2 linked regions of the Nothobranchius furzeri genome follow. The protein of the gene in region 1 purifies or fractionates together with the protein of each later gene. This does not show direct contact. Links are inferred from orthologs where the notes say so. Each region holds a gene or a part of one and is shown in the gene's direction. Other genes may lie near its edges. The genes, in order: atp11c and cell cycle control protein 50A.

What was found.
Region 2: the proteins of atp11c (region 1) and cell cycle control protein 50A purify together in Homo sapiens (co-immunoprecipitation; 4 studies listed by BioGRID and IntAct, with this or other methods). This does not show direct contact. The link is inferred for Nothobranchius furzeri from reciprocal best matches to the Homo sapiens genes ATP11C and TMEM30A.

Annotation. Positions count from the first base shown.
Region 1 is NC_091741.1:83,723,116-83,726,940, reverse strand, and holds part of atp11c (phospholipid-transporting ATPase 11C), read left to right. Parts: intron 1-1,380; coding exon 1,381-1,647; intron 1,648-1,754; coding exon 1,755-1,932; intron 1,933-2,012; coding exon 2,013-2,115; intron 2,116-2,197; coding exon 2,198-2,343; intron 2,344-2,550; coding exon 2,551-2,610; intron 2,611-3,058; coding exon 3,059-3,186; coding exon of another isoform or gene 3,187-3,190; exon of another isoform or gene 3,191-3,224; intron 3,225-3,825. UniProt on the Homo sapiens protein: Catalytic component of a P4-ATPase flippase complex which catalyzes the hydrolysis of ATP coupled to the transport of aminophospholipids, phosphatidylserines (PS) and phosphatidylethanolamines (PE), from the outer to the inner leaflet of the plasma membrane.
Region 2 is NC_091758.1:36,697,913-36,702,316, forward strand, and holds the start of cell cycle control protein 50A, read left to right. Parts: upstream 1-1,422; 5' UTR 1,423-1,627; coding exon 1,628-1,876; intron 1,877-2,493; coding exon 2,494-2,613; intron 2,614-4,404. UniProt on the Homo sapiens protein: Accessory component of a P4-ATPase flippase complex which catalyzes the hydrolysis of ATP coupled to the transport of aminophospholipids from the outer to the inner leaflet of various membranes and ensures the maintenance of asymmetric distribution of phospholipids.

The DNA of each region.
Region 1 (3,825 bases):
CAATGTGAAATCATGAATAGATGCACTAGTTAATCCTGCTGAGATGGTAATATTCACATGTTATTGTCTTTTTTTCCCTTTAGGGCATAAATATGCTTTAGGCCAGGGGTGTCAAACTCACACGGGGCCAAAATGAAAATCTGGGATGGAGTCGCGGGCCAAACTTAATATTTTTGAAAAAGTGACTGCAAATTTGCACATTTTCTTTATCAACATATATGCAATTTTGAACCTTTAAATTAGGAAACAAACTTATTTCTGCATTAACACTGAATGTGGAATAACCAAATGACACACGAGCAAGTCAGTTTTAAATAAAAGGCATCAGTGGTATTCATTACTTGTGGTATAATCAGCATTTTTAAAATCTATTCAGGATTTATGTTTTCTTGTTTATTCATTTTTCTTATTTTTTTTTCTCCTGTAATACGTGTCATCGCTGCTGTGACGTCTAGCTTTCCCCACTGAGGAACAATAAAGGGATTTTCTATTCTATTCATCTATCTGCAGCCTTTCCACTTCCTGTTTACTGTAGGTTAAATATTTTCTCACGGGCCAACAACAACATAAAAATATCATTTTATCTTAAATGAAAATGCAACATCTCACCTGTTAACTTTCATGTTTTGAAGCAGAAAAAGAGCATAAAACCAAAATACTTAAAGCTCAGTTTGCTCCACTGGTTTACTGTGATGCTCACCTGTTCCAGCCAGATACCTGCATCATGGGGTTGATCTGAGCTGAGGAGGAGACTCCTGTTGTTTTGTTCATCTTCATCATAATAATGACAACATTGGATGACAACAGGTGCTCACATAGGTTTGTGCTGCTGAACATGTCTGAGCAGCTTGACCACGTTGTTGTGTGTCGGGGAGGAAACACAACCACAGAGCCGTGCTGGTTTGAGCGTGTCGCTGCTCGCTGGAGTTATATCAGCTCTGTCTGGACGTTAGTTGGAAAACTTTCTCTTTCAGTCGTGAACACATTACTGAGCGGCTAGAATCTCCGTTTCTGGGCTTCGTCAGAAAACAGCTGAGTGAACTCGGTGCTGAGTGAGAGGAGTGTTTAGTTTGTCCGAGACAGCGGAGCTGCAGACACCGGCAGCAGACGCTGGAAAAAACACAAAGGAGGGGGCGCGTCTGCTCCGCGCTGGCGCCGCAAAGCATCATGGGAGTCGAAGTATTTGCGGTAAAATCGGCCAGCGGGCCAGTTTTAATATATTTTTGATATTTATCTCGCGGGCCACATAAAAATGCTCCGCGGGCCGCATCTGGCCCGCGGGCCTTGTGTCTGACATATGTGCTTTAGGCTTATTGAGTTATGAGGAGACTGTTTTTGTGTCTGATCATTTTTAATTCTTAATGCTTTCTTGTTCCAAAGCCTTCAAGAGGAGGCAGCAGAGACGATGGAAGCTTTGCAGAGAGCAGGGATGAAGGTTTGGGTCCTAACGGGGGACAAGATGGAGACAGCCAAGTCTACCTGCTATGCCTGTGGTTTATTCCAGAGGAAAACAGAACTGTTGGAGCTCACTGTGCGTACTTTAGAGGATGGAGAGAGGAAGCGTGAGGAGCGACTTCATGAACTTTTGGGTGAATACCATAAGAGAGCTGTTCAGGATGCTCCACCGGTAAAGGCAGGTGGCACCAGGTTGGTACTGCTGAAATAATTACATTGATCTGTCTGTCTGTCCGTCCGTCCGTCCGTCTCTAAGCTGAAACTTAAAGCACTAACCTATTTCTTCCTCTCTGTGTTAGGGTCTGTTTTGCGTCGAACCAGGATTATGGTTTTATCATTGATGGAGCTTCTTTATCTATGGTGCTCAATTCATCCTCTGAATCCAACATGAGGAGTTACAAGGACCTGTTCCTACAGATTTGTCAAAACTGTACAGCTGTTCTTTGCTGCCGCATGGCTCCATTACAGAAGGCACAGGTAAGAAATGATCAGAACCATTTGTTTTTGTTAAGTGATCTCACTTGACCTGGTTACATGTGTCTTGGTTTGCCCCTTAGATAGTTAAAATGGTGAAAAGCTCTAAAGGAAGTCCCATCACTCTTTCCATTGGAGATGGAGCTAATGATGTCAGCATGATTTTGGAAGCTCATGTTGGCATTGGTAAGGGCTTCTCCAACCACAAGTAATTGTACATTTTTGGGGCGAATGTATCGCGTCATAATTTTTGTTCTTGGTGTTCCAGGCATCAAGGGTAAGGAAGGTCGGCAGGCGGTGAGAAACAGCGATTATGCTATCCCTAAACTCAAACACCTCAAGAAACTGTTGTTGGCTCACGGCCATCTGTATTATCATCGCATCGCACACCTGGTGCAGTATTTCTTTTACAAGGTAGGAAAACTATTTCTTTGGATAATTTTTTCTTAGGATTGAGAAAGTTTTTGGATTGTCAACAAAAAGTTAATCTGATTTCAGATTAATTTGTTAATTTCACAAATTTGATTTTAATCAAGTTCAGCTGATAAATGAATACAAAATAACAGATTTATTCAGATTTTATACTGATTGTATTAATTTGTTTTTCTGTATTGCCCACAGAATCTTTGCTTCATCCTACCGCAGTTTTTATACCAGTTTTTCTGTGGATATTCCCAGCAAGTGAGTATTCCCAATTTCACACAGAGGTTCAGAAACAGTCTGAATATTTAAAGGAGGTAGAGCTCCTAAATCCGTAGCTCCTAATCCTCCTGAATACCACACTCTTCCCTTCAAGCTTTCTCCCTTACCAGCCCTGGCTTGTTTCTGCTTTGTTGACAAATTACAGAGCAATCAGATTCTACTAGAATATGATGCAATCTTGGTTACGTGTGTGTTACATCAGCCTGTTATGAAATGGAGCACAAAGCATTGCATCTCTAATTCTACACATTTTAGTGCAACATGTTAAAAATCACACCTATAGGTGTTTAGGTATAGCATATAGATATGTGTAAAAGTAACTATGACAGTGTGTTAAAATGGTTCTATGAGTTTAGTCCTCTCCATAAAATTAACCCCTGGTTGCCCCATCCCTCCTCATTACCTCCTCCTGGTCCATCCATCCCAGCCCCTGTATGATGCAGCCTATCTGACGATGTACAACATCTGCTTCACCTCCATGCCTATCCTGGCCTACAGCCTTTTGGAGCAGCGCATCAGCATTGAGGATCTCATTGAAGACGCTGCCCTCTACAGGTGAATGTTTTTCTCATAGAAGACGCTGCCCTCTACAGGTGAATGTTTTTATTTACACTTCATAGGACAATTAAAAGGGTAAATTTAGTTTCATTGGTTTTTATTTGAGTTTAAACTTTCCTGAATGCTCAGTTATATATGTGTAACACCCGAAGATCAGCCCCCAAGATGTTGCATGAAGTGAATCTGACCAACCAGTATTAATGTGGACAATGTAGTACAAAATCAGATCACTTCAAAAATAGACAATTTATTAGAAATAATTGCAAAAGCTAAATGCCCATATAAAAGCTCAGTCTGTGCAGGTTGTGCCTATGACACAGGGCAGGGAGACCAGTTAAAATCCAGGGGGAAGTTGAATTGTCTTAACCAAATAAACATGTATGAAGCCAGGTAGTGACGATGACTCGAGCTTCCCCCAATCAGCCCAGTGCCTCCAGCCGTCCGACTCAGTGCTGGACAGGTGTTTGGTCCTTCTGATCAGTGAGTCCTGGTCTCCCTTTTTATGGCACACCTGTGAGCTCCTGCAAGGAGTTCTGCAAAGAGTTCAGCACAGCCGCAATAGACCAATAAAAGTTAATAAATACATTAAAACAAACTAACAAGAGGAAGCAGTTAAGAGAAAGCAAGGTTCATGCG
Region 2 (4,404 bases), on another chromosome or scaffold:
CTAAACAATTTCACAAAACATGAAGTTTGAGTTTTTTTTAAAACAATGTCAGATAAAAAGGCAGAAAACTGTTCTCTTACTAGTATAAATGTTATATATATATATATATATATATATATATATATATATATATATATATGTGTGTGTGTGTGTGTGAAACATTTATACTAGTATTTGGGATGCAACGATACCACTTTTTTCCAAACTGATACGATACCAATACTTGGATCTGTGTATTCGCCGATACCAATACTTTTACCACTTACAAAAAATTTTAATTAAAAAAAAGCAATGAATTGGAATACAGGTTTTATTTTCTTCTCTGCTTTCAACAGAAACAGCCTGTGAGGTAGATAAAAAGTAAAATATGTGAATAGAAATCATCACAAAACTAAAATATTAGGTGAACAGAAATGACAAGTTACAGTGAAGCCACTTTCAAGCAACTGCATTGTCCTGATATCGGTTAACTTTTACCGATATCGGTATGGGTGCATCCCTAATATATATATTTATATATATATATATATATATATATATATATATATATATATATATATATATATATATGTGTATATATAATTTATTTCAATTGTAATCAGTGAGCGTGTTATCCATGTCCTTCCGAGCTCAGGTCATTGACCAGAGGCTTGGGAGCTTGAGGGTATTGTGCAGTAGCTCAGCTAGAACCGCACTTTTCTAGGCTGAGATGGCTGATGTTTTGCCTCAGTTCAAAGACCAATAAATGTCCTGCTGCATCGAATAAACACACACAGACATTGATACTGACATAATTTTAAAAAAAGGTCCTTATTTTGTTTTAAACAGGAAAAGTATGAATATATTTGGATTTCACAATGGATGTAAAAACTACTTAAATAAACTAAATAAAAACCAAATACAACAAAGATAGAATTGAATAGAAATGTGGTTATTTTTACTTTTTGTTCTGCGTCTAAACAAACTTTTCATTTGATTACTTGCAATCTGACGTTTGATTTGGTTGATGGCCACATACTTAGTCTATAATGGATTTATAGGTTGTATTTAGCGCAACTAGATGAAAACAGAAGAATTCAAACCTTTAATGTCCGTCTTTCCGGACATTCCACCCTCTAGCGGAATAAATATGTCAATAAGGACAGCGCTCATACAAGACTAAATTCATCAGCACTTTCTGTTGATTTCTTCAAAATAAAACATGCCACTTTAATTTTCTACGGTTTTACGGTCAGTGTTAACAGCATAGTTAGTATAACAAATGAGAACAAGCTAGAAAGTCCTGACGTATGAACCATACTACTGTACTATAGCTGAAACAAAAATAAACATAAACATTTCCGGAGAGCTGTCGCTACGCGTTGACGTCACTATAGCGTTCTATCATGTCATTGGCTCTCTCGCTTCCGGCTTCTTCCTTCTCCAAGCTCACGGAAGACATGAAATCATCAACAAAATGAATCGAATTTAAAGTCGAAAAGGATCGAATTAAGTGTCGGTCTCACTTCTGACGGGATTTCTTTCCGCATCTCTTGCCGTCTAGGGTCTCATTTGACCGTGTAGAACCACCGAGTATCTGCCGGTATCTAACTGTTGTGGATTATTAGGTGCAAAGCCTTTCGCAACCATGATGGCGTCAAGCTACAACGCTAAGGACGAGGACGGACACCACTCGGGCTCTGTGAGCCACGGAGGAGCAGGGACTGCTAAAAGTAAAAAACCAGACAACACAGCGTTCAAACAGCAGAGACTACCAGCCTGGCAGCCGATTCTAACGGCTGGCACCGTGCTGCCCGCCTTCTTCGTTATCGGTCTCATCTTCATCCCCATCGGTATCGGCTTGTATGTGACTTCCAACAACATTAAAGAGTTCGAGGTACAGTTCCTGTTATCTTCTCTTCTAGATGGTGTTTATCTAACTTCTAAAACCACAGCTGGGCAAATTAAATCAGACATTTCTACCCTCGTATGGGTTTCAAATCTAGATGTATGACTTTGTTTTGATCCTAGTATAAATTTAAAGTAACAGCAAAACAGCGCAGACAGGTTCTTAAAAGGGCTGTGTCTCAAATATCTCTACATAATTAATAATTATCCGTTAGTTTAGAATAATTATACACAACCCGTATCTGTTTATTACCCAGAAGGCTGCTTTTACGTGTTTATTTAGATAAATCTACATACTATCAATTTGTTCTGCATTATGGGTGATTGGATATTTTCTTTGCCCGTGATAAAGTCACTATTTGTATCTTAAATTTGCATTTGGGTGGATTTGTATAATTTTTTTCTAGCATAATGCAGTGTTAAACAAATGCAATATACTGAGCTGTAACCTGACATACACCAGCACCACATGCTATGAAATTATAACAAAAACAGAAATGGGTAATTCACACACACAAAACAATCTGGTTACCAAAAGTGTTAAATGAAAGTCGTAGAAAGCAACATTCCTTTTTCCTTTGATGTTTTATTTCTGCTCATTTTCAGATCGATTACACCGGTGTGAATGTGGACAGCCCATGTTACACGTGCGCCAACAACTTCAGCTGGAACAGCACCACGTCGTGCTCCTGCACTGTGAACTTCACGTTGGAGCAGCCGTTTGAGGTGAGCTCAGGTCCTGCACCAGCTTAGATCTATATCGACCCCATGAATAATAAATGTCTTCAGCTTCAATCCCGACAACACTCTCCTGCATTAAAAGAGTAAAGGCCAGCCGTCTCTGTTCTGGCATTGATCATCCATTAGGGTCGACTTATTTTTTTTATAAAAAGAACACTCGAGGTTTGTTTAAAAGCTATTTTAGCATTGATTGCTGTACCTATCAAATATGCAGGCTACCTTTCAGAGAGCTTTGATTTCTTTTGTTGCCTCTTTTTTGAAATAAGTTTGATTAAATTAAAACTCTTTGCCTTCTGAGTAGAAAAGAATGGCTATATTTCTAGTTTCCTTTGAAAATGCAATGTAGTGAAGGCAAGTCAACTGAAATTAATCATCGATCTGTCTTAAAAACTATTTATTACTAAGAGAAGTGTTGTTTATACCAGTGGTACTCAAACTTTTTTGACTGATGTACCCCCTGTGAAATATTTTTTTCAGCCGAGTACCCCCTAATGAGCGCAAAAGCTTTTTTGGTTGTAAGAAACAAAAGACCTTAAATAGAGCACGGTGCCTTCAGTGACTGATTTATTAAATTTTGGAACTGATAAACAAGTACAAAATTCAACCATTTGAAAATAAACTACTTCAAATATTTTAAATATTAATAATCCATTACTAAATGTATTGGAAATATTTTTCATCACTAAAATGTGATTCTAATTAATTAATTGAAAACAGTCACCATATAACTATTTAAAACCATAAGATTACCCATTGAAAAATCCATAAATGTGCAAAAACACTGCGATTTTGGGATAATGAATTTAGCCTACTTCTACTTCTAAACACATTTTATGAACTTTTATTTAATTATTTAATACATATTTTAGGAAAATATTAATTAAATAATTATTTTTTAAAGATTTTCCATGGATACTATTTTTTGAAATGTATGTACATTTTCTCACGTACCCCCTGGAGTTTCTTTACGTACCCCCATTTGAGAAAGGCTGGTTTATACGACACGAGTGCATAACATTTCTGCTGTGATTTGAATTCTGGTTAGGTGTAGGGAGGATTCCTGCTTTGTTTCATATTCAAATCTGGAATCAAGAGTTAAAGCAGCCGATTCAGTCACTGGGAATTGCAAAACCCACTTTATTTAAATTGAATTGGATTTTCTCTTTGTGTAAGCGCTTCGTCGACTTTTCCAACTTTTGAGATGACCGCAGCAGTTGGACCAGATTTAAAACAAAGGCTCGTTTCATCATCTTTTATATTTTTATCGAGTGTTGTTTGTATTCAGTTAACATAAAAAAAAATCCCTGAACAGCTTCTGGAAGATCGGTGAGTTTTGTGCAAATGCAGATTTCACAAGAACTGAAAATAAATTAAGAATAAAATGAATAAAATCTGGTTATTTCTTGGTAGAAAAGGCAGGAGTTGATTAAAAGTATCAGAATAAAGTAAAAGTTACTAAGTGGGCATCAGTCCCAAGATTTCTGAATAATGGGTGTCTATGAAAGGAAGGGCACGTACAGAAGTGTAGCAGTCTGACGGCTCCACACAGAGCAAATCTGATCACTGAGCTGGAACTTTTACAACCAGTTAACTCAACTTTTACAGCCTGCTCACGTCCGTGAAGGTTAATGTTTCCAAAGTGTGTTCGAAATGTCTCAAGTTTCAGCAAATAAATAGTCCTCTTTACAATTCACAGGGAATTCCTCCAGCACTAATAAATGAACTCATCTAAATTCCACAAATGTGGAATGACCTTCCAAGCACTATCAGAACAGG